Tamandua tetradactyla: one gene and its partners. The main gene of each other region encodes a partner of the protein of the gene in region 2 in a complex. Links are inferred from orthologs where the notes say so. Each region holds a gene or a part of one and is shown on either strand. Other genes may lie near its edges. The genes, in order: EIF3D, EIF3J, EIF3L and EIF3B.

Region 1 (7,938 bases), on a different chromosome or scaffold from region 2:
GATGCAGATTACTAGGAAGAAAATCGTCACAAGGTCCTGATCCAGGCAGCTGAAGAATACTTACTTGTATACCTCTTATCCTGGTATGTGGCACCTGTCCAGTCTGCAACCTATTAAGAGCCATAAGGGAAGACAGAGAAAACATAGATCAACCAGTTAAGTTTCTTGTGATCCAGAAATCCCTGAAGTGAAAGGACACAATGTGATAGAGTATCAGAAGAACTGGTTCACAATGGCTTTTTAAGCACCCAGTTTTCCTATGATTACTCACAGAGGTTATAATCTTTCTCAGCTGGTATCACTATAAGGAACACAGGAGTTTGGCTTGTGAGAGAATAAAACTCAAATAGGAACTCCTGGAGAGAAGTACCGTCAGTTTAAAAGATGCAGAGACCATGGACAGGCAAGTACCTTTCCTAGCCGATCTCCTTTGCTGAATGGCTGGTAGGGCATATCCCGAAACTGCTCAGGAACTGCACAGGGACCCCAGCCTGAGGGGTTGTCCTGAATCACAGGAGTCATGAACTTCGCCATGTTCTAAAACTAAAAAATACAGAAAATGTGAGTTGCTACATGAAGGAAGTTCCCAAAATACAATTCAAAAAGCAACACACAATACAGAATATTCAACTGTGAAACTCTTACCAGTGTTTTCTTATAAATACTCTGAATAGTTAAAACTCAGAAGACTACTAGCCTAGTTAACATCTTTGAATTAAGGATGCACCTTATATTTGATGGTATGTCATAGCTTAACTTTCTTAATGTTACATAAAATGGTACTTTTTAAAATTAATGGTGTCTCAGATTTGATGAAATATGATAATATTTTTTTCAAGTGTGGTAACCACATTTGGTTCTTCCTTCACCATGGCATAGAACACTTCCCTAAGCTTCAGTCCCTGCATCTGTAAAATAAATGGAATCTGTTTTATCTGTATCATTGGATCACTGAGAAAGTCATATTAATTAACACATTTGAAAATGCTGTCTTTGTAAAATGCCTTGCAATTACTATTTGACTTGCAAAAATATATTTCTGAACAGAGTACTTAGAAAAAAAAAGAATCCTTCAGTATACCTTGAAATCTGACTTTCTTCTGTTGTCTAGTTTTCTATTATTGATGCAAATCCTACATGGAGCAAGTGGAAACAGAGCGAGGTAAAAGGGCTGCCAGAAAGGTGAGGTCACCAAAAACTTTAGGGCGGGGTAAGGGGTGTGGTATGTATGATTCTTTCGTTTTTATTTCTTTTTCTGGAGTTACGCAAGTGTTCTAAGAAATGATCGTACTGATGAATATACAACTATGTGATGAAACTGTGAGTGGTTGATTGTACACCAAGTATGGAATGTTCATATGTTAAGAATGTTCATGTTTGTATGTTGTTTTGTCAATAAAAATATTAAAAAAATAAATTATGTATGGATGAAAAACTATTTACAAATATTATGGGCACTAAGCCTTGTTCTTAGTGCTTGACATGCATTGATTCACTACATCCTCCAAGGAATCCTATGAAGTTGGGGCCAGTGTTATCCCCACTTTCTAGATAAGAAAACCAACGCTAAAGCCGCAATATTGATATTGATAAGGAATTTGAACACAGGCAATCTGGCTTGAGTCCATACTGTGCTGCTGTACCACCACTGCCATCATCATCATAATGCCACAATAGGTCCCCTCAGGAGATCAAACACCAGGGACTCTACGGCAGATGCTTGCCTTATAGCTCTCATCAAAAGCCTATGCATTTATTCATTGTAACTCCCTGACAACACTCGGAAGCATTTTCCCAGAGGAAAATTCATCACACAAATATCTCCTGGAAGCTGGAGAGCAATCAAAGAGCACAGCTGTACTGAAATTGGCAAACTGTCCTCATGGCCCCAAGACGGGGAGGTTGAGGGTTCCTGGGTGACAGCAACAGGAAATGAACCTGGGAGCATCATCTTCCAACTCTGAACTGAAGCTATATTACAGGGAGAGGAGTTCAGAAGGAAAGGGGTGGCAATCGCAACAATTCACATCCAGTAAGTATTTCTTGAGCTCCTAATTACATGCCAGGAAATGATACTAGATACTTTATCATCAGTAATCCTCACTCTCCCAATTTTAGAGAATAAAAAACGAGAAGCTCAGCCAAATTCCACGCAGCTGATCTGTCCATGGTTTCAAAATAAATTTGATTTCGGGGGCTGTTTGCTGCAAGTCCAGCATTCTTTCCATTCTATTATAGATGGACAGCAGCCAGGAAATATCTGGGGCTTTCAGACCAGACTTCTCCAGGCGATGGGAAGTAGTACCTGGGCTTCAGGCAGTGTAAAATAGTGAGAATAGAATGAGTACGGAAAACTGAGCCGTTCAGGCAAAACTATAAGGGCAGCTGTACTGGCCCCAGGAGCAGGATAGGGAGGCATCAACAATGCAATCAGAAGGGTGGTTGGGAGGCCATAGTGTTGCGTAGATTACCACGGTCACCACAGACCGTACGCCATCAATCCCCGAGGACAACTGCATTCTACCCTCCCATTTCACAAGGAAACCAATGAACTGTGAGATCCTCAAGGCAGGGGCCGAACACCGCTCAGGATGGCACCTCCAGTATTAAACTCATAGGAACTCAGATCACTTTTGAAGGGAGACCCTGAGATCCAGCAGGTTTGGGCAACAACCAAATTTGCCTAGCCTAAGGCAGCTAAGCGGAGCCTAGAGCCAGGGACCTCACACACAGGGCTGGGTCCCCTCAACCCTCACTGGGGGCTGCTGAAGACGCGGCGGCAGGAGCCGACGTAAAAGAGGTCTCTTCCGGGAGGCCCTGGAACGCCGAACCCAGCCCGGGCCGCTTCCGGGGGCCCGCAGGGTCCCACGGAAGACCCCGCTCACCTGCAACGGCCTCGGCCGGCCCAGATTGCGATAGATGGCCTGGGTCAGAGATCGTGCCACCGACAGCTCTCCCAGGAACCGGGAAAGGAGGAAAGATGCGCGCGCAATAGCCGGCGCCGTAAACAAAACCGGCGCTGTCGTAAACTGTGCGCCATCTTCCTCCGGATTCGGCAGAAGAATGCATGAGCCGTAAAGCTAAGGCAGTCCCGGAAGTTCGTCACTGCTCTTTATGAGGTGTCGGCGTTATTCTCCGAGGCGCCTAGACGCAAGAGGGTGGTTACAGTTACGATCAGACGGCGTCCGGTGACGCTCAGCATTGCGACGTGGCAGCCGTGCAATGGAAGATAGTGGCTGCGAGAGGCTGACAGACGCGCTGTATCCCACAGTGCTTCAACCGTCCTCTTCGGTACGCAGTGATCCGCGGCTCCTCCGCTTGCTCTAGTTAATCGTCTCGTTTGATTCTCACAGCAAGCGGGAGGAGCGAGTTTATTAATTTATTATTATTAACCTCCCCTTTTACAGTTGCGGACGCTGAGGCCGCCAGGTTCATGGTTCAAACGCTACTTACACAGTTTTAAACTTTATTGCTCGTCAGAGGTTTCTGGAGCGCTAGTTTTAATAAATGCAGGCTACGGATCTCACTTTCGTAGATTGTTATTCAAGTAATCTAAGCAGGAACCCAGGAATCTGCAATTTAATTAGCAACTGTGAGTCTGAAGTGGGGGACTCAGAAACACTTTACATTAGGCAAGTGTTGTCCCTTCTGCAGCTCCCAGCCAATAGATTTTGTCCAGGAGTCTTGAGCGGTTTCAAAACATTCTTCAGAAAGAAGCTGGGTGTGACTTTATTAAAATCCCAGATCCTTTTGTGCCTTGCCTCCTTGGTTTCCTGATCATACAGTTTGGAAGACTGTCCTTCATTGAAAGACATATCAGACCTTCATCTCTCTGAGCCTCAGTTTTCTTATAAGTAAGAAGGGGCTGATAATAAGGGGATACTGTGGGGGTAAAAATAGAGAATGCATGTCAAAGTACTTAGTAATTCCTCTAACCTGTTGGGGAACTTGGACAACTTATTTAACCTCTTTAAATCTTACTCATCTGGAAAATGAGAATGTGATAGCAGCGCCTATCTCCATAAGTTCTCTCCCAGTTGCCCTTGTTCTAGTTTTTCTGATTTTTGTTTGTGACAGCCAGTGAGTGGTGTTTAGGGCAAAACTTGTAGTCATAATTGGTAGCTCCTTTTCCCTTTGCATTACGTTCATTAAATACTCATTATTCAGCTTCCAAAATATATCTTAAACTACCATCTCTAGCCTGCAAACTTGGACTCCCACTCTTGCTTCCCTACGGCCCATTCTCCACATGGTGGCTAAAGCATCGTTCACAACCTTCTAGTGACTTCCCATTGTGTGCTTAGAATGAAATAAGAATGTCTTCCCATGGCCTGCCTGGTACTTGGTTCCCTTTCCACTTCATATGCTGCTGTTCTCCACTCACTGCTCCAGCTGCCATGGCTTTTTTGAACCCTGAACCCATCAGGCAGGGCCTCTGCACTTGCGTTCCTTCTACATGGCACACTCTTCCACAAATCAGCTCATGGTTGGCTTGGTCCCTCCATCTATGTCGCTACTCCAGAGTTGCCTCCTCAGAGAAGTCTTTTCATACCATCCTTTCTAAAATAGCTACTTTCCCCTTCATCCCTCCTCCTTCTCTGCTTTGTTTTCTTCATAGTTCTCATCACCATGTGAAATATTTGTTTCTTTGTTTAGGGTCTGTCTCCCCTCTAGAGTTTAAGCTACGTGAAAGTGTGGGCTTTGTCTGTCTTCCCTAGAGGAGTGTCTGGTAGTAGTATTTGTTGAATTGATTGTTGAATGGATTGGGGTTTTGGACAATTAAATGAGAAAATGCATGTAGCACATTACCCTGGGCACATAACTAAGCAATCAATAAATGCTGATATAAAATTAATATCAATAGTAAATTGAGTGTGTTCTGAAATATAAGGGCAAATGTATTTTTATTGATTCGCTTGGATCGTGTCTTTTCTTTTTTTGCTGTGGGCCTCTGGGCCATCTGCTGCAGCTTCCTTCCATGACTTGCCCAGTGTTTAATAATTTTCCCCATGTTTTGGTTCAGATGTCCCTGCCCACACCAGAGGGAGGAGTGCATGGAGTGTCCCATCTCGTTCTTTGTAGTGGGTCCCTGGATTTGGGTGAGAGATCTTGCCCCTGTTCCTCCTCCCAGCTGAGACTCCTGCTGCCACTATTTCTGCCTCTCCTGGTGCCCAATCTCTAGATGGCAGGAGAATGACCCTCCTTTATACTAAATCAGAGCATGCCTCATCTTCCCCAACTTCCCTGCCCTTAAAACCCTTCGGTGGCCTACCATTACTCTGAGGGTAAAGTCATAAACACCATTCCATGACCTACAAGGCCCTAAATGATCCTTCTTCCCTCTCCCAACTCAACCCTACTGTCTCCCCTTTCCCTTACTAGCAGCTTCCTCTTTCTGGAACACATCCAAGCCAGTTCCTACCTTTTAACCTGCTGTTCTCTAGGGCCTGGAATGGATTTCTCCTAGATTCATGTAGGCCTGTGTTCTTATCGAACAGGCTTTGTGTATGTGTGTGTGTGTGTGTATTTAATATTTTTATTGACAAAACAACATACAAACACAAGCAGTCTTAACATATGAATATTCCATACTTGATGTACAATCAATGCCTCATAATATCATCACATAATTGTATATTCATCACCGTGATCATTTCTCAGAACATTTGTATCACTCCAGAAAAAGAAATAAAAAGAAAAAACTCATACATACTACACTCCTTACCCCTCCTTCTCATTGACCACTAGTATTTCCATCTACCCAATATATTTTAACCTTTGTTCCCCCTATTTTTTTCCTATACCCCTTACCACTCTCATTGATCACTAGTATTTCAGCCTACTCAATTTAACACTTGTTCCCCCCATTATTTGTCCATATCTTTTACTCATCTGCCCATACTGTAGGTAAAAGGAGTATCAGATACAAGTTTTTCACAATCACACAGTCACATTGCAAAAGCTATATCATTACACAATCATCTTCAAGAAACATGGCTACTGGACACAGCTCTACAGTTTCAGGCACTTCCCTCTAGCCACTCTAACACACCTTAAACTAAAAAGGGGATATCTATATAATGCATAATAATAATCTCCAGGATAACCTCTTGACTCTTTGAAATCTCTCAGCCACTGACACTTTATTTTGTCTCATTTCTCTTTTCCCTCTTTTGGTTGAGAGGGTTTTCTCAACCCCTTCATGCTGAGTCCCAGCTCATTCTAGGGTTTTTGTCCCATGTTACCAGGGACGTTTACACTCCTGGGAGTCATGTCCCATGAGGAGAGGGGGAGGGCAGTGAGTTTGCTTGCCGTGTTGGCTGAGAGAGAGGCCACATCTGAGCAACAAAAGAGGTTCTCTGGGGGTGGCTTTTAAGGCCTAATTTTAAGTAGTCTTAGCCTGTCCTTTGTGGGGATAAGTTTCATATGAACAAACCCCAAGATTGAGGGTTTGACCTATTGATTTGGTTGTCCCTAAACAGGCTTTTCTTGACCACCCTTCTGAGCTGCTTCACTCTGCCTCATTAACTTTTTTTTATATTGTTACATTGAGCTTGTCGCTTACCTGGTACTTGTACCAAGACTTGCGTTAACTTATTTAATCCTCATCGCAACTCTGTGAGATAAGGACTATTATTCTCCTCATTTTACAGATAAGGAAGGTGGGGGTACAGTAAGATCACACTACATGCTCTAGGTCAAACAGAATACATGGCAAAGGTGGGGCTCAAACTCAGAAGACAGCCTGCCTCCAGCATCTTCCCATATCCCATTACTGCTTTGTTGGGATCCTAGCATTTATGTCGATCAGAAGTTACCGTACATTTATTTGCTTAATTATTTATTGTCTCGTTAGAAAGTTAGACTCCTGAGAGCAGAGGTTTTCCATGTCTTTTGTGTGGTGGTATCCCCAGCACCTGGAATCATGCTTAGCACTGGTAGGTTCTTGGGAAATGTTTGTTGGATGCATGAATGAACTCCCGTGCATCCATGGCAGATCCTTCCACTGCTGCTCTTGTCATATGCCTTGTTTTATTACTTAGGGGCCACCTAGATCTCACCCCCACCCCCAGTCTCTGGACTCCTCCAGTGTGGGGCTGCATTATTTGGGGTTGAACTGTCAGGGCTCAGCACTCCACCTGGCACCCAGAGTATGTGCCCAGAGATGAGGCCTTTAGATACTGTTGCTAGAGACTGAAAAAACAAACAAAAAAACCTCAGCGTTCTTGCCAGAGAAGTGTAGATTTGGGGGCAAGTGCCCTATTCTCAAAAGGAACTCTCATTTAGTCTTTCTGGTTTGAAAAGTTACCCCACCATCTTTTTCCAGGGAATTTAATAACTAATTTTTCATTATTGCTAATAACAGCTAATCTTAGCACAGCGGTTTATAAGCAACTACGTCATTTCTGCCTCATGGTGACAATATTTTAATATTAATTTTGCGGATGGTAAAATGAGACTCAGAAGCAAGGTCACTAACCAAGGTCACACAGCTAGTGAGAGGTGGAGCTGGGATTTCACTTATTTATTCATTCAACAAACATTTGTAAGCACCTGCTCTGTGCCTAATACAGAGCTAGGAGTGGAGGATGGAGCAGGGAGCACACAGGTGAGGGGCCTATTCTGTGGAAGGTGACTTTTAGTGATCACTGCAACAGAGGGCAATTTTATTTCCCTTCTGCTGAGGGTGAGCAAACCTCCCAGTTTGCAAAGGACAGGCCCAGTTAATACCTTTTGTCTTGGATCATGGTTGATAGTGCCCCTTTCTTTTTCAAAAGTGCCCGCAATTTGAGTGGTAAATTATACAGTCGCCCCACATTTGTCCAGGATCTCAGAGCATATGTCAGATCCTGGCAACAAGTTTTATCTCACAGCTCAGAATAACAAGATACACGAGGCAACTCACACAAAGAGAGCGCTCAAGAAATCCATCTTAGT
Region 2 (8,001 bases):
AATATTTTTCAATAACAGACATGCTTTCTACTTCAAAACTTGCTAGTTCATAAAAACTGTCAGGGTACTAGAATGATGAGACTGGGATTTTCTTCAAAATAATCTGGTCAGGGAGGACTCAGTGGGGATATAGAAGAAATAAGACTGCCAATGGGTTTATTAAACTTCTCTCACTACTTCTATGTGTGAAATTTTCCCTAGTAAGTTCCACATGCACAGCATACTTCAAGATGCCCATTTCCTGGTAAAATGCCCACATCCTGAGTATTTCCCAAGAAACTCACATTTCTCCAAAATATAGTCCCTTTCTTCAGAAGTGCTGTTTTCAATGCCTGAAAAATGCCCTTACTCTGGTAGATTTAAAGTATTAACTGGGATAGGATCGTAACAAAACAGTGAAAGAGTAGAATGAAGATAGGCCGTTTTCTACTAAGTCAATTCTCTAGGATTTCTTTTTAAGAAATTTTATTATAAGGTTATAGAAACAAATACCTAAGATGGACGGACACAGTCAGAAGTTTCCTCTGAGTAAGTCTATCTTTTAACCTGTTCTACTGAAATGCTGGAAGATAGTAAAGAGGAGTATAAGCTGTGTTGTCCCTGCTTCTGTGGGTAAGTGCTCACTGCTGTCTCAGTCAGTGCTGCGTATACATCACATTCTAGTACTGGGGAAGGAGCCCAGTAACATATGCCAAGCAGACAATTCTTCCCACTGACTCCACATACTAGGATAGTAAGAAAAGCAGAATAAAGACAGTAAGACAGGAAGCTATGCTCCCTAGTTCTTACCTTTCTAACTGGGGAGAATCATAACCTCTTCCTCCATGAATATAAACAGTTCTATAGTTTCATCTAAATCTACTTCTGCCACTGCCAGACAGCTCTCGGATAGTCAAAGGCAGCAAAATGCTGTAATGTCTACTGAAAATAGTAAGCAACGTAAATTACCTTAACATCTCAGTTCTCCTACTTTTTAAAATTTGTTTTAAGCCTATATTCTTAAAGATTAAGCATTAAATGCTGACATAAACTGAAGAACTTATAATAATGTCTTGGTATTGAATTTTTTTTAATTTATGTATTAGTCTCAAGGAAACTAAGCCCTGTTTGTGCCTCCTTACAAAAAGAGTATACCTTAAAACATTAGAATTCAGAAATCTGGTGTTACTCATCACCACCAAACATGACAACATTCTAGACTGGCAAACTCTGAGCAAGCAAAAAGTTGCTTGCTAATTATGGTCATTTCATTCAAAACACAAAAGTCATAGTAAATAGGCACTGCGGAAAACACTATTTCTCAGTTTAGGAAATCATAAGCAATGTGGCAAAAAATAAGCACAGACACTAGATCTCAAGAGCCTAGCCATATTTTCCGTTAGCCTGAAAAATGAAAACTCCTATGAAGTGAGAATATTTATTCTGCTTAATTCTTAACATATTACCTCATTTGATCTGCAGAATTACTCTATGAGGTAGTTCCTATAATGGCCATTTATACTTGGGAAATTCACTGACTGGAAAACTAAAAAAGAATGTTTAAAAAACATGCTTATGATCCCAAATCTAAAAAATGTCAAAACAATAATATAAATATAAACCCAGATCTGTCTGGTTCCAAAGCCCAGGAATCAAACTACTCCATGGAAATCAAATCTTGAGAATCTTGGAGCAGCTCAAAAGAAAGAAATCAACATTTCAACATGGGAATATAATGGACAAGTTCAGCTTTCTTCTCCAAGATCGACTTCAAAGTTTGGGAAAAGAAATTATTTGTATATAAAGAAAAGTTCTGCACTGAAGGAGTGACTGCACAAGATAACCTTTATGGTCTCTAACCACTTGTGAATCTCAAAAATTAGTTCCAAGTAATTAGAATTATATTTATCAAGATCCACACCACTTAGCTCCCATAATCCAAGGCAGGTTTCTTCATTTTATCAGTCCAGACTGCTTTATCCAAACTTCATTTTCTGTGACTTTTCATCTCTCTAATATTTTCTTCTCATTTGCTAACATCCCCAGTTTTCATAATAGGTATCTTAACTGCCACACTGAGTATGCACAGAAAAAGTGAAAGCACAAATTTTGAACTTAAAGTCTCAAAACTGAAGATCTGCTGCAGGGAGGTAACTAATATCTTGTAACGAGTCTGGTAACACACTCCATCTCCATGTCTATATAACATGTAAATGAACCATCTAAACTTCTTCAGTCAATAACAGTAATACTCAATTATTAACTCCAATACTTACAAAGTTCATCTATCGCTGAACCTTAGGTTAAGAAATTGGCCATCCACCACATCAGACTCAGGAGAAAAGGGAAAATCCAAACAGTGCTATTAAATTCATAATGATTATCTGGTTTAAAATTTTCAATCCAAGCACAAGAATCGTACTGTTCTCATTATGTGCTAAGAAGGAAGTTAGGAGAGTAACATTCTCTAAATTAAAACTATTAAAATCAATTAATAATGGCTTGAGAGTCCTAATATTCTGGACATGAGACTTTTGTAGCTATTAAATAAACATTGGACTCTCATCTACTCTAATCACCAAACCTTCACTATTTCATCCTAGGGTCACCTATGTCTAGAGGAATAACTCAGTATGTCAATTCTCCTTTATTCGGGTTAGTTGGGTGGACTTTAGGTGTCTGACCACTAGGCTACGACCTGTTTCAGGCTCAGTTCATCCTTTTCACCACAATGCAGGGGAAGGGAAAGCTAAAACTTATTTCGCCTTATATTTGTCTCGTGACAAAAAGATTGAAACTAAACGACAATATTTCATCTAACAACTAGAACACACGCTACCATTAATGGGACTTCCAGAACATTAATCAGTAACTGGCCCTAGAGACTTAACCTCGAAAAAGAAGGAGAGTCGAAGACTTTCCATATGGGATAAACCATGGGGCTCAATTCCCAACTTCCGAGCGTCATCCCCTAGTGGCAGCGGACTGCGAACCTTGCACGTGGGCCAGGCCGGCCGGGCGCTGCTGTCACCTCCCGTCGCCAGTCGGTGGGTGGGATCCAGGCCCGAGAGCGGACCCTCAAAGAAGGGCTGGAGCTGGAGCCGCTGCCGCCCTCGGTTAGGGAGTCCGGAAGGCCATGACGCCGGCCACTGATCCATTTGACCGGTCAACGGAGAGGGAAAGGACATCACAGAGCCCTACGCTCTGCTTGGATCCACGGCCCCGCAGGCCTGGGCATCGATCCCGGGCCCGGAGTCCGCCTACCCCTCTGTCAGCGAGCATCCCGCCCGCGACAACGCGAGCGCCAGCCCGCTTCGGCGCTACCCGGCTCCCGGGTCCGCACCCACCTTGACGTCCTCGTCTTCGTCCTCGCCTTCCCAGCGGTCCCCGCCGGCGGTGCCGCCGCCGCCCCCCACCTTCCGCACCGGGTCTTCCACCGAGAACGTGTCCGCGTCTACGGAAGAGAGCGAGCCGCGTTAGTGCCTGCCTCGGCGTGGGGCCAGCGCAGACCCGGGCCCAGCCCCCGGAACTTCTCCTTACCCCAGGAATCGGAGTCTCCCGCCGCCGCCGCAGCTGCCGCCATCTCAAGCAGGGTGTGAGCGTGTGTGATGGGAAGAGCGATCGCGGAGTTAGCGGGGCGGAGGTGAGTCACTGGATTTGCTCTCGTTGGCGGACGCGGGGCAGGCTGGGACCGTGGCTGACTGTGCGCCGGAACCGAAGCCCCGCCTCTCCTGGCGCCGGCTACTCGCGCGCGGGCTGGGAAGGGGCGTGGAACGCGGCGGGCGGGGCGGAACTGGGAGTGGCGGGGGCGGGGTCAAGCGGGCCTTTTTTCCCAGCTCAGGACGGTCCTGGAGGCTGGTGGGACCGAAGAGAGGAAGCAGTCAGGAGAGCGCCAGTCCAGCCCGACCCCGAGGGAGGAAACGTAAGTGCGGCGAAGTTCGTAGGGCGGCCCCTTGCCTGGAACTTGGTTCTCGCAGGTCCTCGCCGCCCTCCCCTTACGTCCCCAGCCCCGCCCCGCTCACGGGCGTTCTGCTGGCGCGCCTTCCCTTTGATCCCGTGGCCCCCAGCCTCTTCACGCCGCGCTCAGAAGAGGGCCAGCCAATGGGGGCGGCGGACCGGCCTCTCGACTCCAGAGGGTGCCGTCCCGTGCCGGAGGGGACTCGGCTGGAAGCCGGCATTCCTGGGGAAAAGAACGAGTGGAGGGGATAGCCTCTTGCCTCCTAGCCAGGGTGTTTGGAGCCAGCCTGTGACTCGCTTGCCTCGTGTTAGTCATGAAGGGATCGAAGAGAGCCCCCATCTACGAGGATTTTCCCTTCCTGTGAGCTCTGTGAGGCCAATACATTGATTCGTTCGTTCTTTTCTCAGAACATTTTCGGAGCTCCTCGTTCTGTGCTAGGCATAAACTCTAGCCTTGTCCCCAAGGAGGGCACAGTCAAGTAGCAAAGGTAGACATGTGAACAGATTTTGACACTGGGATTACTGCAATAAAAAGAAGCATTGTGAGGTTAAATGTAAAAAAGTAACATTAAAGGCAGCGGGGGGCTGGAGGGTGCAGGAAAGTCTTTCCGAGATAGGCGCCGCAGAAGCTGGAGTTTGAAAAACCAAGTGGAATGTGCTCAGGTGTATTTCCGGTAGAAAGAACCGGGCGTGTGGTCCAAGATCACATTTGAGTGTGCATTTGAGTGTGGCTTAGTGGCACAGTTGGTGATAAGGCTGACCAGGTGAACCAGTCATAATGGACTTAAGGTGGACTAAGCAACTGCACTCTGCTTTTTAGGCCACGGAGCTCCACTGCAGAATTTTAAGAGGCGAGCCGTTTCAGATACTTTTGTTTTGTTTTGTTAAATATGTAATACACATACTTGATAAAGTATCCAAGTATGAAAGGATACACATTGAACAGCTATTCTCTTCATCCCACTGGCAACCATTATTTCTCATCTCTCGTGTACCCTTTCAGAGAGAGTCTATAAACTTTACAAAGATGCTCTTTCAAGAGACAGTCTGCAGCCCTGTTACTCAAAGTGTGTGGTAGCCCTGTTACTCAAAGTGTGTGGTCTAATCAGCATTAGGGCAGTACCTGCAGAGTTTGTTAGAAATGCAGACTCGGGACCCACCCCAGACCTATTGAATCAGAATCTGCCTTTTTATTAAGATACCCAGATCATTTGTCTGCACATTAAAGTGTGAAAGGCAGTGATTTACAGGCAACCACTTACGAAGGAGAGAATACAGAAGGCAGGGAAACTCTGAACTGTATGCTCCCTGAGGGCACACTCTATTAATAGTTTACAGTTATCTCCAACATTTGGCACAGTGCCTAATACATAGTAAATATTTTAAGAATGTAATTAAAGGAGCACGTAAGCCTGAATGATGATGGAGGGGGAGGAACTGATCTGAGAAAAATTTAGGGGTTAGAATCAACAGGATTTATGGAGAAGGAGGGGAAGGGAGAAATAGATGATGGTGTCTGTTCTAGTTTGCTAGCTTCCGGAATGCAATATACCAGAAACAGATTGGCTTTTAAAAAGGGGAATTCAATCAGATGCTAGTTTACAGTTCCAAGGCCGAGAAAATGTCCCAATTAAAACAAGTCTATAGAAATGTCCAATTTAAGGCATCCAGGGAAAGATACCTTGGTTCAAGAAGGCCAGTGAAGTTCAGGGTTTCTCTCTCATCTGGAAAGGCACATGGTGAACACGGTCAGGGTTCGTCTCTCATCTGGAAGGGCACATGGTGAACACGGCATCATCTGCTAGCTTCTTCTCCTGGCTTCCTGTTTCACGAAGCTCCCCGGGAGACATTTTCCTTCATCTCCAAAGGTCGCTGGCTGGTGGACTACTACTTCTCGTGGCTATGTCATTCTGCACTGCTCTCTGAATCTTTTTCATTCTCCAAAATGTTTCCTCTTTTATAGGACTCCAGAAACTTATCAAGACCCACCCAAATGGGTGGAGACATGTCGTCACCTAATCCAGTTTAACAACCACCCTTGGTTAAATCACATCTCCAGGGAGATGATCTGATTACAGTTTCAAACATGCGGTGTTGAATAGGGATTATTCTACCTTTATGAAATGGAATTTTAATTAAAACATGGCTTTTCTAAGGCATACATCCTTTCAAAACAGCAGTGTCTTTGGAGATTAACGGAGTGGTAGTGACACCCATCTGGTTACTCAAGTCAAAAGCCCAAGACCATGCATGATTGCTTTGTAACTCACAACTTCTCTAATTAAAAAAATTATAATAACAATAAACACACACACACACAAACCACAAAGAAAAACTTAGGACCTATCCTTGATTTCTTTCCCTCTCTCTCTCACCCCATAAATCCAGTCCATCACTGAACTCTGTGCCAATATTAATGTTTAATTCATTTGTTTCCTTCCATCTCTTGCCACCACCCTAATCCAAGCTATCTCTGTATTGTTCTACAATAACTGCCCACTTGGTCTTCCTTCTTCCACTCATCCCTCTCCATAATTCATTTGCTACCCACTAGTCAGTTTACTTATAGACTGTAAATCAGATTGTGATAAGCCCTTTCCCATCCCCACCTCCAAGTGAAATCCTTTAGTGGCTTCTCATTGCTTTTAGAATAAATCCAACTCCTACCATGGCCTATAGGCATCGCAAAGTCTGACCCCTATGCCTCCTGTCAACCGCTCTCAGGTATTCTTCCTCTCATTAACTTAATTGCCGCTGGCTCTTTTTGCTGCTACTTGGACACACTAAGTCTTTTCCTATTTGGAGGCTTTGTACTTGCTGTTCTTTCTGTCTGCAGTGCTCTTCCCCATTTCTTTGCATGGTTGGCTTCTCCTTCTCCTTCAAGTCAAAGCCTAAATGTTTCCTTTGCGGAAAACCATTTTCCCTGCTCTTCTTTGCAAGGGGACTTTACCCAGTTATTATATCTCATTGCTCTGTTTATTTTTGTCATAGCACCTATCACAATTTATAATGGTCTTATTTATTTGATGTCTGTTTGGAGCACAAGGATCCTGTCTGTGTTCTTTAATACTATATTCCTGGGACATAATAAGAGCCTGGGATATAATAAACGCTCAATGTTTTATAAGTGTCTCTAATCATAAATCAGGAATTCAGGAATGAATTAAGTTTTGACCACCCAGATCTTGACATTCTTGGGAGATATCTAAATGGAAAGGTCTATTTTTGACATTTACCTTGGAGGTAGATGGTCTGGGTTACAGGTATAGAATTAGGACTCATCTGCTTGTGGTGGTAGATGAAATCATGTGAAAGTAGAGGTCATGTGGGGAGAAAAAATAAAAATAAACCTGGAAGAATATCAACATTTAAGCAGCAACCAGAGGAAAAAAGTGAGAGGATACATCTTCTTTTGTATCCTTCCAGTTCCACCATGTTTTTGGTAAAAAAGTGAAATACTGTGGAAGGTGGTATATTGGAAAATTCTTATTTGGTGATCAGGAAAGCTGGGTTCTTGTTAGTTAAATGATCAGATTATTTTAAACTGAACATGACACTTCTGGGGTAATGGGAGCTCACAGTGATTTCTTCTTTCCTAGAAACTGCCACAGCACACAAGGGTAGATGGGCCCACCAAACCATGTCTGCTCCCATATCATAGCTGATTTTAGAGAGGGAATCAGAAGTATATTAACTGTGAAACTTTAATGAAGCTTTAGTTTCAGGGCTCCTCGTCACATGGGCCCTGTTTCAGTTCAAGCAAATACCGTGCAGTGGGTCAGCTTAAACAGTGGGAACTTACTAGCTCACAGTTTGAGGCTAAGAGAAAATCCAAATCATGGCGTCCTCAAGGCCATGCTTTCTTCCTGAAGACTGGTGTTCTGGGACTGACTCCAGGATCCTGGGTCCTTGGCTCCTCTGTCAGATGGGAGTACACATGGAGGCCTCTCCATTCTGTTCCGGGTTCTGTTGAATTTCAGCTTCTTGCTTCTCATGGCTTTCTCTCCTTGTGTCTGCCTTTCATTCTGCTTATAAAGGACTCCAGTAATAGGATTAAGGCCCACC
Region 3 (7,733 bases), on a different chromosome or scaffold from region 2:
TTGTAAAACTCCTCTATACTTACCAACTCCTTTTTCTCACTCCCTATTTCTCAGCCCACTGCCATCTAGCTTCTGCCTATTTTTAAATAAACAGCCTCTAAATTGCCAAATTCAATTGGCTCCTTTTTCATCTTGATTCTGCTAGAGAATATGGACATTTGTTGATCAATCCCTTATCCTTCAAAGTCTCTTCTCTCTTGGTTCTTATGACACTTCCACTGATTTACTAGCAAGTTTTTTCTGTTCTGTCTCATTTACTGATTCCTTTTCCTCTGCCCATCTGTAAAGAAACAAATTTCTTACGGCACCAATCAGTCTTTTCACTTAGCATTCTCCTCAGGAAGGATCTACCCTATGTTTGCCTTCAGCTACCAGCTATATCCCTCTGTGCTATCCATTACAGTAGGTACCAACCACATGTGGCTGGCACGACTGAGGAAGCGAATAACTTGGGTATGTGAGTCTACCTTTAGAACTGTAAATTTTAAGAAATACCTACAGATCAAGTATTTACAATGAAAATGTAGTATGTGAACTGAGATATTCGATAAATGTAAAACACACATTAAACTTAGAAGACTTAGTATGAAGACATAAAAGATCTCATTAACAGTCTTTGTTGTTATTGAACAGATTTTAAAGTTGGTATGGGTTACAATTCCACAATTTTAGGTTTTTACTTCTAGCCGCTCTAAGGTACTGGAGTCTAAAAGAAATGTCAATATGATTCAGCACTCATAATCACTTGCTATACCCTACCTTTTCTGTACAATTCCTCAATTACCTTTGATCTTTCTCCCACTCTTTAGGAGTATCTGGGCTATGGCCATTCTAGCTTTTTCATGTTGGAAGGGGCTGTCAATAATATGAGATAGGGGGATGGAACTAGCTGATGTTCTGGAGAGGCTGGCCCCTCTGCATTTCAGGACTTATCTGGTCCAGGGACCCATCTGGAGGTTGTAGGTTTCTGGAAAGTTAATCTAGCAGATGGAATCTTTGTAGAATCTTATATAATGCCCTAAGTAGTCTTTAGTTTTGACAGGAATGGTTTTGGTTGAGGTTTGGCAAGTTATGATAAGAAGCAACGTCTAACTGAAGCTTGCAATGGTTTTTTTTTTATACTGATTATTTGCAAAATTATATTTTGGGTACATGGGATTAAATAACATTAAAATGAATTTTAACTGTTTCTTTTAATATTTTTAATGTAGCTGCTGAACATTTTTAAATTACACTAGTGGCTAGTATCATGTTTCTATTAAATAGCAGCGGCCTATATATTTCTCATCAGAAAGGCCTGAGGAATGAAGGAAACAGATCAGGGATTAAGGTGCTCCTAGTCATTGACTCAGTAGGCCTCGAACCATATTGCTTTCACCATTCACCCTTCCAAGACTGGCTTAAATTCTATTACCTTGGCGAAGACTTTCTTTACTATCCCACCCTGGACTGATCCACCTCAGCTCTAATGCCCAGTACACGAAGGCAATCCTCAAAACACCAGAAGCAACCACTCTGGAGCCTGGCACACCACAGCACACACCGAGAGGTTGTAAAGCACAGAAGTTCAGAATTAGGCTCTGGTGTCAGACTGTATAATTTCAAAATCTAGCTCATCCACTTAGCTTCTACATACTTATACTCATGCACTTATCCCCTGTGTATTGTTTCTTCACCTATAAAAACAGGAAAACAACAGGACCTACTTCATAGGGTTACTGAGGAGGGTAACAAATAAGTCCAAAAGTACTCTGGGTACTGCCTGATCCATACTGATAATACATATTAACTGCCATTATAATTATTAACATAGCTACAGTTATTTAAGGCTTTATACAAATTCCTGGAGCTATAGTCCAACAAAATAACTTTCCCCTTTCCTACTGAGACTCCTGGGCAGTTTCTTCACAGAAAATGATTAAACAGCACCCCTTCTGTAGGGCCTGAATAGCTAGGCTAGTACCACACAGTGAGGTTATTTTGGCCAGCAGCACATACCTGTTCTCGTAGATGTCCTGGATCTCATACACCTTCTGGTCAATGACATCACTGGAGACTCGACTGGCCTGTAGCTCATAAACTTTCTGATCAATCAAATCTGAGACGGTTTTGTGGAAATACTGGATAAAATTTTTTATCACTTCAGGAATCACCTGATATGTCTGCTGTTCATACTGACGTTCATAAGCCAGGTCCTGCTTTGGATCTCCTACAGGTTGGATATAATAAATAAATAAATACTTTACAAAGTGCTCTCAGACCCATATTATGTGATGTAATGAAAAAGGCAGGACCATCCCCAAGTAACCATGAGCTAAATTCAAGTCTATGAAATTCAGTGTAACTCCCCTTTAAACAACTCAAAGAGATATAACCTTCCCTAAGTTGTTCTCCATCCCATCACCCTATTTCTTCAGGACATTTATCACTACTAAAACGATTTACTCAATTATTTGTTTTCTCTACTAGAAAGTAAAGTTCTAAGTACTAAATCAAGCCCAGTCTTTGTAAATTGTACAAAACCTCAAAGCTCCTCTACCCCACAAATACTTCATTTGAGTATGGTTTGAATCATTTCAACTTTTCACGTCAAAATTCTCTTTTTCGGCTAAAAGTTAAAACAAAGAGACCACAGTCTGGCCAGTCAAAAATCCTTCTCTTCTGAGACTGTTTAGACTGACCACAAAAAAGGGGGGGGGGGGGGAGAGTAGGAGGTTAGTTTATTAGATTCTACCCAACCCTCCCACTGAGAGTTAATAACTGACTCCAAGCCTGGACCATCAAGTAGCAGTTTTTAAGAGATACCCATCAGAGCTGTTCTGAGCCATTCAAAAAGGTGCCAATCCCTAAGATAGTCAAACAAACTCTTACCTGTATGTATATACAGGTCTTACCTGTATGCATATCATAGTCACCCGGGTAAGCATATGGATCATAAGCAGCCTAGAACGACAGACACACATAGTCAACAATTTGTGAATCCACAACCTTCGTCCCACGGGCATCCTGCGTCAAGTAGGAAGCTAGGGATACAGGCATGGGCAGGGTACAGCCTCTGTAGTCGGTCCCGAAAAAGGGAAGGACGAAGATGACCAGGCAAGAGAAGCGGGCGGGGAGACGGTGGCAAAGGAAGCCGGAGCTGTGGCTACTGCATAAGGGCCACGCGGGAAGGCAAGGCGAAAGCGAGACACCATCTCTCCCCGAGGCCCAGCACCCAGAGAGCCCCTGCCCAGGTCGTGGACCCGACCACGCGCTTACAAGCATCCTACCTCCGACTCGTAATCATCCGCGGGGTAGGACATAGCAGCAAAACTCGCGAAACCGCCGCCGAAAGAGAAAAAGAAATGCCACCGCCTGCCCTGTGAGACCGGAACTTCCGACACTTCTCGGTCCTGCTGGGAAACCGGAAGCCTTGCTATAGCCGGCGGCCACCTCAGATAGCCATGTTCGGAAGGGCTAAAAAAAAAAATAATAATAATAATAATAAAATAACTACAAGGCCTAAGTTCTTTCTATTTTCTTCAAAGAGAGGCTTTGAAAGAAAGTCACGTTATATGACTTTCATAAATTCAGAACTAAGGGCATGAAATAGTTCGGCATAAAGGGCGGGCAAATTAAGTCTCCTATGAAATGCCACACAAAAGATGTCTGACAGCTTCCTGGGTCCGCCTTCTTGCGTGAAAGGATATCCGGACGTAGGGGGCCTGACTACGGATTTAGGTGTGGGAGGCTTGCCTGAGGCAAATAACGTCTTCAAACTTTCCGGCCTCAAGACCCTAAATTTGCTGTGTTACAGTTGAGTCTTGGTTTCATTCAGTGAGGTGGTATTGAGAAAAGGCGCTCCCAACTTTGCACATTATGATTGGAGCAGGCAAGAACGAAGCCAGCTGTTTCTGTAGCAGAGAAGCTAAACTATCTATAGTTGGCCTAAGAGTTTATAGCAGAGGACCTCTTTTGTTGCTCAGGTGTGGCCTTTCTCTGAGCTCAGCTCTGCAGGGAAGATAGTTGCCCTCTCCCTACAGACATGACATCCAGGGGTGAAAGTCTCCCTGGCAATGTGGGACATGACTCCAGGGGATGAGCCTGGCCCTGGCGCTGTGGGATCACCTGCACTTTCCTCACCAAAAAGGGAAAGAGAAACCTAACAGAGTGAGATATCAGTGACTGAGAGTTAAAGTGAAGTCAAAGGGCTATTCTAGAGACTACTCTTACACAAGCTTTAGCTAGGTATTGCTAATTTCCACAGTTTGCCAGACCCCAAACAAAACCATTCCTGTTAACCCTGAGGAATACCTAGGGCTCTGTCTGAGATTGTATATAAGTTTCATGTACTAAGTTTATTTTCTGGAAATCTACAACCTCCAGATGGTTTCCTAAGCCAGGTAAGTCCTGAAATCCAGAGGAGCCAGCCTCTTCAAGAACATCAACTAGTTCCATCCCCCCGTCCCATATTATCGACACCCATTTCCAACATGAAAAAGTTAGAATGGGCAAATAACTCTAAAGATTGGGAGGGGGGTGGGGGGAGAGGGAGAATTAGAGAAGATAGGGTTTGGTGAATGACCAACCTAACTCGTTATATTGATATTTCTTTTAGTCTCCTGTGTCTTGGAGTAGCTAGAAAGAAAAACCTGAAATTGTGGAACTGTAACCCATGTCAAACACTGAAGTTTGTCCTATCACTACTTGTTACAATGTAGGTTGAAATTTATTGCTTTTTTTTTGTATATATATTTTGCAAGAAAAATGTTAAAAAAAAAAAAAAAAAAAAAACAGAAATGCCAGAGCCAGCTGTGGTGTTGTGGTGTGAAGCCCTAGGGCGAAGCCTGAGATCGAGTCAGCGCTTGAGCACCCAGGCTGTGCATTGTGATCGGAGTAGTAAGAGGTGCTCTTAGCTCTGCGGGAGCCCTGGAATTAGGGATGGAAGCTATAAGACAAGCCAACAGAAACCGGGAGGGGGCCTTGGTTTAGCCATCTGCCCGTTTACAATACCAAGACAGGAAATCTGGGTTCCAGTCCCTGCTATGCCTCTGATTTGCTGTGTGGCCAGAAGCAAGTTTCACCCTCTCTGGGCCCTAGCCTCCATATTTTCTAGTTATACTACCCTCTTTGCTTTTCCCATCTGCTTCAGGGCTTTTCTGCTTAGAATTACCTGTATCTAAATTCTAGAATGCAGTCCTTACAGACATCCACAAGGCATGCTGCATCACTCCTTCAGGTGTGTTTACTGTCATCAACTTAGAGCATCCTATTTTAGAATTACAACTCCCAGCTCCAGTGCCCTTTGCCCTGTTCTTGCTTTGTGTACCTTAGTTGCAGTGTCATCAAAGGTGTGATTAATTTACCATGGAACTAATGGAGCTTAAGTTTCATGTCTCTTTGATTCACCAGGTCTCTTCCATGACTCAGGAAGAGTAGCTAGCAATGTACTCACATGGTCAAAATTTGCCAATATAATATTGTTACTGCAATTGGTTCCAACCACTCTCTCCACTCTAATTCCCTTCTTTGCAATTCACACTATGTCTGTTGGCATTTGGATCTGGCAGAGGAAATCTAGTTGGGAACATTTGGGTTTAATAAGATGTATGTAAGTGACACTGCTCCTTCTGTGCATAATTAACTTATTGCAGGTCTCCCTAGGTAGGACACTTACCATCCCCTGTTGTCAGTGAGTGTCATCAATCAATTATGGAAAATGATAATATGAAATTGTCATATAAAGAGGCAACCAAAGGGCGGGCCACGGTGGCTCAGCAGGCAAGAACGCTTGCCTACCACGCCAGAGGACCTGGGTTCAATTCCCAGTGCCTGCCCATGTTAAAAAAAAAAAAAGAGGCAACTAAAGAGTAATTTGTCAGCCAAAAAAAAAGAGAAAACATTATGGAAGTGTTTCAGAACATTAACAAATATGTTACTTCTCTGGATTTGTGATGTTTGTGGTAGTTGTCACCTTTAAAAAATTATAATTGTTTGAGTTCTCAAGTTGTGCTGTGATTTCTCCTTCTAAATTGATACTCTCTTTCACACCTGGCTTTGTGTAATTTTCTAGTCGTCATTCTTCATATAAGATTCAGGCCCCACTGAACTTGGATCTCTTGTTTATAATACTATAGCATATATTTTATTTGTTAGTTTTTTTCTTTAAGACTTTCTACCCTCCTGTACACTCTAGTTTAGAGAATCACGATGCAAGTTAGAATGGTAAAGGCTCTGAGTGGAGCCTCTGCACTGGCTTCTTTTTCCCATTTTTATTAGTTCCTCATCATCTCTCCAATCACTAAATAGTGAACTGCTCTATCCTTCCTCGGTTGGTCCTTGGGTCTCTTCATTATCTACCTCACTCCCTGTCTCAGCCAATCCAGTATACTTAGATATCATCCGTATGCCACTAACTCCACAGATTTCTCTCTCTTCTCCAGACCCCACCCCTGACGTGGGCCCCTGGCCCATTGCCTGTTCCCATCACAACCTGAATATTTAATAAGCACCTCAAAGTTAATATCCAAACTGAACTCCTGACCTTCTGCTTCAACCCTGCTCCTCTCACAGTTTCCCCCATCTCAGTGAAGGGCAACACATTTCTTTCAGTTGCTCGGGCCTAAACCTCCAGAGCCATCCTTTACTCCTCTATCTTTTTACACCCCACATCAAATCCATCTGCAACTCTTGTTGGCTCTACCTTCAAAAATATTCTCAGATTCTCAGTTCTTACCACCTTGGTCTCTATTATCTTGGTTCAAACCACCATCATCTCACCTATATTATTGTAACAGCCTCCTCACTCTTCCTGCTTCCACTCTCAATCCATATCTGTCGAACTGCATTTAGAATGAAACTTACTCCACAAGCTGTAAAGAATAAAGTAAAACTGTCTTTATTCACAGATGGCATGATACTCTATATAGAAAATCCTAAGGACTCTACAAAGAAGTTACTGTAATAAATTTATCAACGTTATGTGAAATATGGTCAGTATGCACAAAAAATCTATTATATATTTTTTAAATAAAAAATATATTATTATATACTGGTTGTGATGATTAAGTTTATGTGTCAGCTTGGCCGGGTTATGGTGTCCAGTTGTTTGCTCAAACAAGCACTGGCCTGATTGTTACTTTGAGGATATTTCATGGATTTAAATAATCGTTAAGTTGATTACATCTTCTACAATCAACTGAGAAGATTGCCTTCAACAATGAGATAAGACTCATCTAAAAATAATGTATTAGATTAAATGTCCTTATAGTTAAGTCATTGTTACTTGCAGCCTAAAGCCGTCTTAATATGCCTTATCCCTTCATTTTATATTTTACACATAGAATCTTCTGTGTATTTGATTCAGGATTTGTAAATTCCAGAAGAAACCTGTGCATAAAATGTTATCAATGTTTTCAAATAAATTTATTGAGATATTAAAAAAAACTGAAACTTACACCATTGCGTTACATTTTCTTAGAAATGAAACTTTGCCCTAAAAGCAGATGTTTAGATGCCCTAAAACAGACTCTGAGATGTCTCATCACAGGGTATTTGATTTTGCAATGTTCGCTTGTTAATGGAAAAGCAGCACTTCAAAGGGAAGGAAACTGAACAGACCAAAGCTCCTGGAATAATTTTACCCAGGAGAGCTGTCTATAGAATTTGGGAGCTGTAAAGCTTCCCTGTTTTCTCTTGATCTTCTTTTGCCTGGGGGTTTGAGACAGGAAATTCCCTGAATCGGAAAAGCCATT
Region 4 (7,774 bases), on a different chromosome or scaffold from region 2:
TGAATTTTTGTTTGTTTGCTTTCTTTTTTCTTTGTTTGTTTGTTTTGGGACGTGCATGGGCCGGGAATTGAACCCGGTCTGCATGGCAGATGAGAATTCTACCACTACCCTTGCACTCTCAGTGAAGCCCTTTGGATGTGGTGATAAAGTGTTGGAGAGGGGAAGCACGCTATAATTTTATGAATAAAGCTCAGTTTCTCACTGCCCCTGAGTCTCTGAGCTGTGACTTTCAGAAATGTTTCTTCTTCTTTTTTTTTTAATCTTTTTCCTTGAGGGCAGACTTCTGTTATAGAGCATTCTCTGGGTATTTCAAAATGCTTACTTTTCTCCTAGACATATTTTTAAAATGGCACTTTTCTCCTCCCCTACTCAAAGCACAAGGGGATCTTTATCAAATCTTCACTGGAAGAACCTGGCAGAATTCCTGGAGGCAAAGCCTGTGAGCGCGTAGTGGCCCCTCCAAGATTGGCTCCCAGGAGCTTTTAATTCTCCAGGTGGTCCACAGTCAGCCTCCAACGATTTATAAAAGTTACCATCTAAATGTGCCAACCAGCTGCTGGTGATGGGTTAGATTATAAAGAGCCTACTGTGTGCTGTCTATAAAACCTATTTTAAATATCAAGATACTTATATGTTAAAAACAAAAGGATTAAAAGTGTTATCTTATACAAACGTTTAACAGGAAACTGGAGGGTACCTATATTAATAGCAGACAACATTGACTCCAGAACAGGGAATATTACCTAGGATAAAAAGGAACATTTTTAATAATAAAGGGGTTAATTCAGCAAAAAGACATGGCAATCCTAAATATATATGCACCTATTATACCTTCAAAGTAGATGAAAGAAGTGATAAAACTAAAAGGAGAAGTAGGTAAATATATAATCACAGTTGGAGAATTCAACATTTCTCTTTCAGCAATTAATAGAACAAGTGGACAGAAAGACAGAAAGGTTTCAGAAGATGTGAACAGTACTACTAACCATCTTGACCTGTCATTCTTTGAACATGCCACCCAATGACAGCAGTTGCTTTCCAAGTGTACAAGGAACATTCAAGTTAGACACATTCTAGGCCATGAAACACATCTCAATAAATCTAAATTTCTATGACTGCAATCACACAAAGTGTGTTATCTGTTGTGCTGGTTTGAAAGGATGTATGTCCCCTAGAAAAGCCATGTTTTAATCAAAATCCCATTTTCGTAAAGGCAAAATAATCCCTATTCAATACTGTATGGTTGAAACTGTGATCAGATCATTTCCCTGGATGATGTGATTTAGTCGAGTGGTTGTTGAACTGGATTAGGTGGAGGCGTGTCTCCACCCATGTGGGTGGGTCTTGATCAGTTTCTGGAGTTCTATAAAAAAGGAAACATTTTGGAGAATGAGAGTGATTCTGAGAGCAGAGCAGAAACACATAGCTATGAAAAGCAGAGTCCATCAGCCAGCAACCTATGGAGATGAAGAAGGAAAATGGCTCCTCAGAGCTTCATGAAACTGGAAGCCAGAAGAAGCTAGCAGATGACGTCATGTTTGCCACGTGCCCTTCCAGATGAGAGAGGAACCCTGACCATGTTCACCATGTGCCTTTCCAGATGAGAGAGAAACGCTGACTGTGTTTGCCATGTGCCTTCTCACTTGAGAGAGAAACCTTGAACTTCATCCGCCTTCTTGAACCAAGGTATCTTTCTCTGGATGCCTTTGATTGGACATTTCTATAGACTTGTCTTAACTGGGACATTTTCTCGGCCTTGGAACTATAAACCAGCATCTGATCAAATTCCCCTTTTTAAAAGCCATTCTGTTTCTGCTATGTTGCATTCCGGCAGCTAGCAAACTAGAACATCTGTCCTCAAGAAAATTAAATCCGAAACCAGTTACTGAAATGTATCTGGAATACCTCAAATATTTGGAAATTAAACAATACAATTTTAAGTAATCTGTGGGTCCCAGAAGAAATCATAATGAAAACTAGAAAATATTTTGACCTGAAAACATAACATATAATTGTGGGATGCAACTGAAGTAGTGGATAGAGGGGAATTTGTGGATATAAATTTAAGGCTTTAAATTCATGTGGTATCACCCTGTCCATTATAAAGTTACCTGTCAACTCTCATCAAATGGTTTCAGAAGTGTTGCAGGATTATTGCTTAGACTCATTATTTCTGAAGGACTGAAAAATGTTGTTTTCCTAATTTTATTGAACTTTCTGCATATAGTAGCTAGAATTCTTTTACAAAAAGAACTTTCTCTCACCAAATATTTGGCTATCTAAGGGTCAAAGAAGAAAAGCAAGATAAATTACTTTTTGCTTGAGTCTTTTATTTGCAGAATAACTGCCCAGCAATATTGAGCTGTGATTAACAAGGTTGTCTTTTTAAAAAATTTTTTATAACAATATGAACGTATAGATTTAAATATGCCATGTACATGAATCAAATGCAGTTTTTATTCTTTTTGAGGCTCAAACTGTCCTAGTGGAGGCCTTTGAAGATGGCCTGAGTCATTCTGCCCCCAAATTTTCAAATATACAGAAAAGTTAAAAGAAATTTTACAGTGAACACTCACAAACTCACCACCTAGATTTTATAACTAACATGTTTCTTGAACTCACATCATCAATCCCTTTCATTCTCATCAACCAGTTCTCAGTTTAGTGTGTACTCTTCCAGATCTTTTTGTACAGATTGTAAATACTGACCAAAATTATTCATAGAATATTTATAACATGATGCGTATTTTTTGTAATTGATATCATACTGTACATATCAATGTGCAATTAATAACCTTAACCCCATATGCATAAGTGCTAACCACGTTATCACATACAGATCTAGTGTGTCACTTACCTATTGTTAAATAACACATTACCCCTCAAATTGGGGGGTTGGGTTTAAAACAATAAACATTTATTATTTTGTGGCTCTTGTGCGTGAGAAATCCCGTAGCAGCTTGGGGGATGGCCCTGGCCCCCCGCTTCTCAGAGTTGCATCAAGATGTTGGCTGCAGGGCAGGTACCCGAAGCTGCTGGAGGCAGGAGGCCCTGCTCCCAAGGCGTTCAGATGTCCGAGACTTCACTTCCTCCACCTCTGCGGCGTCATCACCCTGATGACGAGCTTCTTTCAGAGCCGGAGATCCAAGAGAGGGAGGGCCAGGCGGACTTATCAGACTCTATGACGGAGACCTGGAAGTCACATAACCTCATCTCTGCTGTCTTCTGCTCACCAGGGGCGAGTGACAAGCCCACCCACATCAAGAGCATGATCCGGCGACACCTTCTGCAGGGAGGAGTGCCCCGTGACTGAAGAACCGACCACAGACGCACTGCCACACTCACTTCTGAGCTTCCACTGACGACGGTCGCCCCACGACTCGGCGATCCCTCCAGGGCGAGACCGCCGTAGCCGTCCCCACCGCGCGCGCCCTGCACGCCCGCTGCACACACGCGCTGACCGAGCCTGGGCATCGCGTGCAGTGCCTCTTACACGGCCGAGGGGCTTAGTGCTTTTTCTAGAAGCTAAGAGACAATGTTCCTATTCTCTCTGCAGAAAAGGCCATGCCAAGTCCGTTCAGTGCAAAATCCTAGGGAGCAGCTGCTCCGCGCAGGGCGAGCGACGCTGCAGAAGTCTCCCCCGCGTCCAGCTAAGGTCAGCCGTCTTCAAGCTTTTTGAAAAGCTTGGGTTCATATTTGCTTCTCATTCACTGACCTGTCCCCTTCCAGCACGTTCCATAAGAAGAGGGTTGGCAGAAGCCAACGATTTAAGAAAACGAGGTGAAACTAGAAATGGAGAGGATCCTTTGGTAATGAAGAGAACTAGCTCGCTGCCGGACCCTTCTGGGAGAAGGGCTCCCAAGATAGGTCCCACGTGCCGCGCACGTCAAATGTGCGTCTCACTGCGCAGATGGGGAAACTGAGGCAGCGGGGCTCGGGGACTTGCCCCGGGTTACACAGCTGACAGGATGGGGAGAATTCAAACACAGCAGACGCAGCCACAGAACCCTCGTTCTTCTTAGTATGATCGAAATATCGCACATTCAGCGGTTGCTGTGAAGCTTCGCAAGGAAAACCGAAATACAAACCCGGGCAAACCTCCCCTAAGCCGCCTCAGCTCACCCCTCCGACGCTCCCGTGTGGCTTCCGGCCCCGCCCCCCGAGGCCACGTGATCCGCCCGGTCTCGCGGCCGAGGGCGGAAGTCTCGGGAGTCCGAACCATCGTGAAGTGAGAATAGGGAGACGGCAGGAGTACAGCAAGCACTGTGCGATTGAGCGTACACGGTTAAACCACGTCTCATAAATTTTTGTTTTGGCCCAGGCAGCCATGTTTCCAGTACTGTTAGTGGCCTCTGCCTCTCCACAAATTCCTTTCCTGTTTTGGAATCGTCCGTTCTCTCGCTCTGTCAGTAGACAAGTCTAAGAGCCGAATGTAATGGGGGAATTTCGTAATGTTAGCGAAGTGATTTGTCTAGCTAAAAGCTATGGCATCAACCAAAGTCGCTTTTCGAACTTAGAGTTTTCCTAATATTAATATTTTATTTAAAGTTTAAATTTCATAGAAGTTCGTTTACAAAGATAATTTCTTAAGTCTCCCTTCGGCGTCACAAATAGTACAGTCCGCCGTAGCGCCCCATGGGAAAAGGAAGGGAGTGGTTGCCATGTTGGATTGAACCAACCCGCCGTCTCAAATGGGGTAGTTATGGTGCACGTTGAGTTTGCCGAGCGATGAAAACCTTGATGATTAGAATTGGCAACATAGTGGTCATACTGATATAGTTGTAAGGATTGGTATGCATGTCGTTTACACTCTAGGTTTTGTCAGTCGCTGTGGGAGGGGTGTGGGTGCCCCCCTCGGTCCTGGGCGCTTTGGTGCGGACTTCCCGGGGCGGACGCACATGGCTCGGGAGTAGGAGCCGGCGAGGCGCGCGGTGCGACCTGGGAGAATCGGAAGCGTGGCGGCGGCTGGGTCTGAGGAGAGGGAGGCCGCGCCCGGGCCCATGCAGCACGCGGAGAACGTGGCGGTGCCCGAGGCGGCCGAGGACGGGGCCGAGCCGGGGCAGCCGCAGCCCGCCGCCGAGCAGCCGCTGGAGGAGGAGCCGCCGCGGCCCGCCGGGCCCGCGACTCGGGAGGCGGCGGTGACCGAGGACAAGCCGGAGGCGGCGGCCGAGCCCCGGCCCGAGCTTGCTCTGAAGGCAGAACCGGAGGTCGAGGAGAAGGAGGCGGACGAGGCCGCCGCGGCCCTCGGCGCTTCCCCGGCTTCGTCTCAGCCGCCCTCGCCCGCGTCCGAGGAGGAGCCGCCCAGGTCGCCGCCCGGGTCCCCCGCCCCAGCGCAGGGGCAGGCGCGGGAGGAGGCCGGAGGCGAGGCCCCCGAGAGCCGGCCCCAGGCCCCGTCGCCGGAGGCGGGCGTGGACGCGGAGAAGGCGGAGGAGGCCGAGCCGCAGGCGGTGCAGAACGGCGACGCGGACGAGCCCTCGTTCAGCGACCCCGAGGACTTCGTGGACGACGTGGGCGAGGAAGGTGAGGCGGGCCCGCGGCCCTCTTCTCTGCCCTCTCGGTTTCCGAGATCTTAGTCGGGGTGTGAACGACGGCGTCCCCACGTCCCTCCTCCCGGGACAGCTCGAAGAGAAAGTTTTAGAGCCGTGCGGTGTTTGCGGAGAAGTCCCGGGTTCTGGAAACACGCCCAGGTGTCCTCTGACCGCGTTAGAAGCCGGCAAGGGAGGTGGGAGCGCCCTCCATCCTCCATCCCTCGTGGGGAGCCACTCTCGGCCCGGACAGCCTGCCCGCCTTCAGCTCTGTTCTGCCAGGACAGATTAGAAACGGCGTGGCGGGGGTCCCCTCGTCTGCGTCCCCGCCGCAGATCGGGGCGCGGGCTGGGGTTGGCTGCCTAGGCAGACCTCAGGGACGGACCCCGAGGCGGGGACCCGCAGAGGTGGAGCCACAGGGCCCTCTCTCCCAGGTGTGACAGCTTCCAGGTGTGCAGGCGTGAGTGCTCTCAGAGGTCGCCAGCCAGGCCCCCAAATGAGCTGCAGGAAAAGCGGGCTCTGACTGCTGAGTGTGGGCTGGTTCCTACCCCACAGTGCGGGCTCACCCCTACCCCACAGTGCGGGCTCACCCTACCCCACAGTGCGGGCTCACCCTACCCCACAGTGCGGGCTCACCCTACCCCACAGTGCGGGCTGGTTCCTACCCCACAGTGCGGGCTCGCCCTACCCCACAGTGCGGGCTCACCCCTATCCCACAGTGCGGGCTCACCCTACCCCACAGTGCGGGCTCACCCCTATCCCACAGTGCGGGCTCACCCCTATCCCACAGTGTGGGTTGGTTCCTACCCCACAGTGCGGGCTCGCCCTACCCCACAAGTGCGGGCTCACCCCTATCCCACAGTGCGGGCTCACCCTACCCCACAGTGCGGGCTCACCCTACCCCACAGTGCGGGCTCACCCTACCCCACAGTGCGGGCTCACCCTACCCCACAGTGCGGGCTGGTTCCTACCCCACAGTGCGGGCTGGTTCCTACCCCACAGTGCGGGCTCGCCCTACCCCACAGTGCGGGCTCACCCCTACCCCACAGTGCGGGCTCACCCCTACCCCATAGTGCGGGCTCACCCTACCCCACAGTGCGGGCTCACCCTACCCCACAGTGTGGGTTGGTTCCTACCCCACAGTGCGGGCTCACCCTACCCCACAGTGTGGGTTGGTTCCTACCCCACAGTGCGGGCTCACCCTACCCCACAGTGTGGGTTGGTTCCTACCCCACAGTGCGGGCTCACCCTACCCCACAGTGCGGGCTCACCCCTACCCCACAGTGCGGGCTCGCCCTATCCCACAGTGCGGACTCGCCCTACCCCACAGCGCGGACTCGCCCTACCCCACAGTGCGGGCTCGCCCTACCCCACAGTGCGGGCTCACCCTACCCCACAGTGCGGGCTCACCCTACCCCACAGTGCGGGCTCACCCTACCCCACAGTGGGGGCTCACCCTACCCCACAGTGCGGGCTCACCCTACCCCACAGTGCGGGCTCACCCTACCCCACAGTGTGGGTTGGTTCCTACCCCACAGTGCGGGCTCACCCTACCCCACAGTGCGGGCTCGCCCTACCCCACAGTGCGGGCTCGCCCTACCCCACAGTGCGGGCTCGCCGTACCCCACAGTGCGGGCTCGCCCTACCCCACAGTGCGGGCTCACCTTACCCCACAGTGCGGGCTCACCCTACCCCACAGTGCGGGCTCACCCTACCCCACAGTGCGGGCTCACCCTACCCCACAGGTGTCTGCCTCCAGAGGTGTCTGAGCAGGACGTGCTGGGCCGAGGCCCTGCAGAGTCCTGCTAAGCCTATAAAGCAGGCTGTCATCATTCTCTTGCAAATTATCTTTCCACATTTGCTTCAGTTCTACCTTGAATGACTTTCAGGCATTTCTGCTTCTGTCTGAGGTCCTGTTTCTTAAAGTGAGTTTTGTTGATGGCTGATCTCATTGTTTTTATTTCTTTTGTTTTGTTTTGTTTTTAGCTTTTATTTCAGCAAGCTGGAACCCCATCCATGGATTCATCTACCTATTGACTTTGTACTAAAGAGAAAAATGAAAACACTGTATTGAAGTAGACAGTGATAAACCAAGAAAATAATATCTTAACACGTGGTGGTCAGATGCAAAGTTTTTTGTGAGGTTGTGTCTTTTCATAGAGGTTCAGTCACAATCACACAATCTTTTAAAAAGTAGAATGAAAAATTCAGGGAACCCAGTATTTTTCAACTTTTTTGAGCAGATTTCT

Evidence for each region.
Region 1: EIF3J (region 2) and EIF3D share a complex: the UniProt entries of both Homo sapiens proteins name them as parts of the eukaryotic translation initiation factor 3 (eIF-3) complex. The link is inferred for Tamandua tetradactyla from reciprocal best matches to the Homo sapiens genes EIF3J and EIF3D.
Region 3: EIF3J (region 2) and EIF3L share a complex: the UniProt entries of both Homo sapiens proteins name them as parts of the eukaryotic translation initiation factor 3 (eIF-3) complex. The link is inferred for Tamandua tetradactyla from reciprocal best matches to the Homo sapiens genes EIF3J and EIF3L.
Region 4: the proteins of EIF3J (region 2) and EIF3B are in contact, whole or in part, in an NMR structure (PDB 2KRB), measured with the Homo sapiens proteins. The link is inferred for Tamandua tetradactyla from reciprocal best matches to the Homo sapiens genes EIF3J and EIF3B. Residues at the interface, in NP_003749.2 of Homo sapiens: Asp45, Glu46, Asp50, Asn51, Trp52, Asp53, Asp54, Asp55; in NP_001032360.1 of Homo sapiens: Lys202, Asn205, Val206, Ile207, Lys209, Ile210, Lys213, Asn249, Ala250, Asp251, Gly252, Tyr253, Lys254, Leu255, Phe261.

What each region holds. Positions count from the first base shown.
Region 1 is NC_135333.1:28,871,081-28,879,018, forward strand, and holds the start of EIF3D (eukaryotic translation initiation factor 3 subunit D), read right to left. Parts: upstream 3,068-7,938; 5' UTR 2,886-3,067; intron 544-2,885; 5' UTR 535-543; coding exon 412-534; intron 111-411; coding exon 65-110; intron 1-64. UniProt on the Homo sapiens protein: mRNA cap-binding component of the eukaryotic translation initiation factor 3 (eIF-3) complex, a complex required for several steps in the initiation of protein synthesis of a specialized repertoire of mRNAs.
Region 2 is NC_135340.1:58,895,144-58,903,144, reverse strand, and holds the start of EIF3J (eukaryotic translation initiation factor 3 subunit J), read right to left. Parts: upstream 3,275-8,001; 5' UTR 3,168-3,274; coding exon 2,973-3,167; intron 1-2,972. UniProt on the Homo sapiens protein: Component of the eukaryotic translation initiation factor 3 (eIF-3) complex, which is required for several steps in the initiation of protein synthesis.
Region 3 is NC_135333.1:30,216,989-30,224,721, reverse strand, and holds the start of EIF3L (eukaryotic translation initiation factor 3 subunit L), read right to left. Parts: upstream 3,403-7,733; 5' UTR 3,303-3,402; coding exon 3,270-3,302; intron 2,944-3,269; coding exon 2,895-2,943; intron 2,210-2,894; coding exon 1,999-2,209; intron 1-1,998. UniProt on the Homo sapiens protein: Component of the eukaryotic translation initiation factor 3 (eIF-3) complex, which is required for several steps in the initiation of protein synthesis.
Region 4 is NC_135349.1:1,763,113-1,770,886, forward strand, and holds the start of EIF3B (eukaryotic translation initiation factor 3 subunit B), read left to right. Parts: upstream 1-4,637; 5' UTR 4,638-5,000; coding exon 5,001-5,520; intron 5,521-7,774.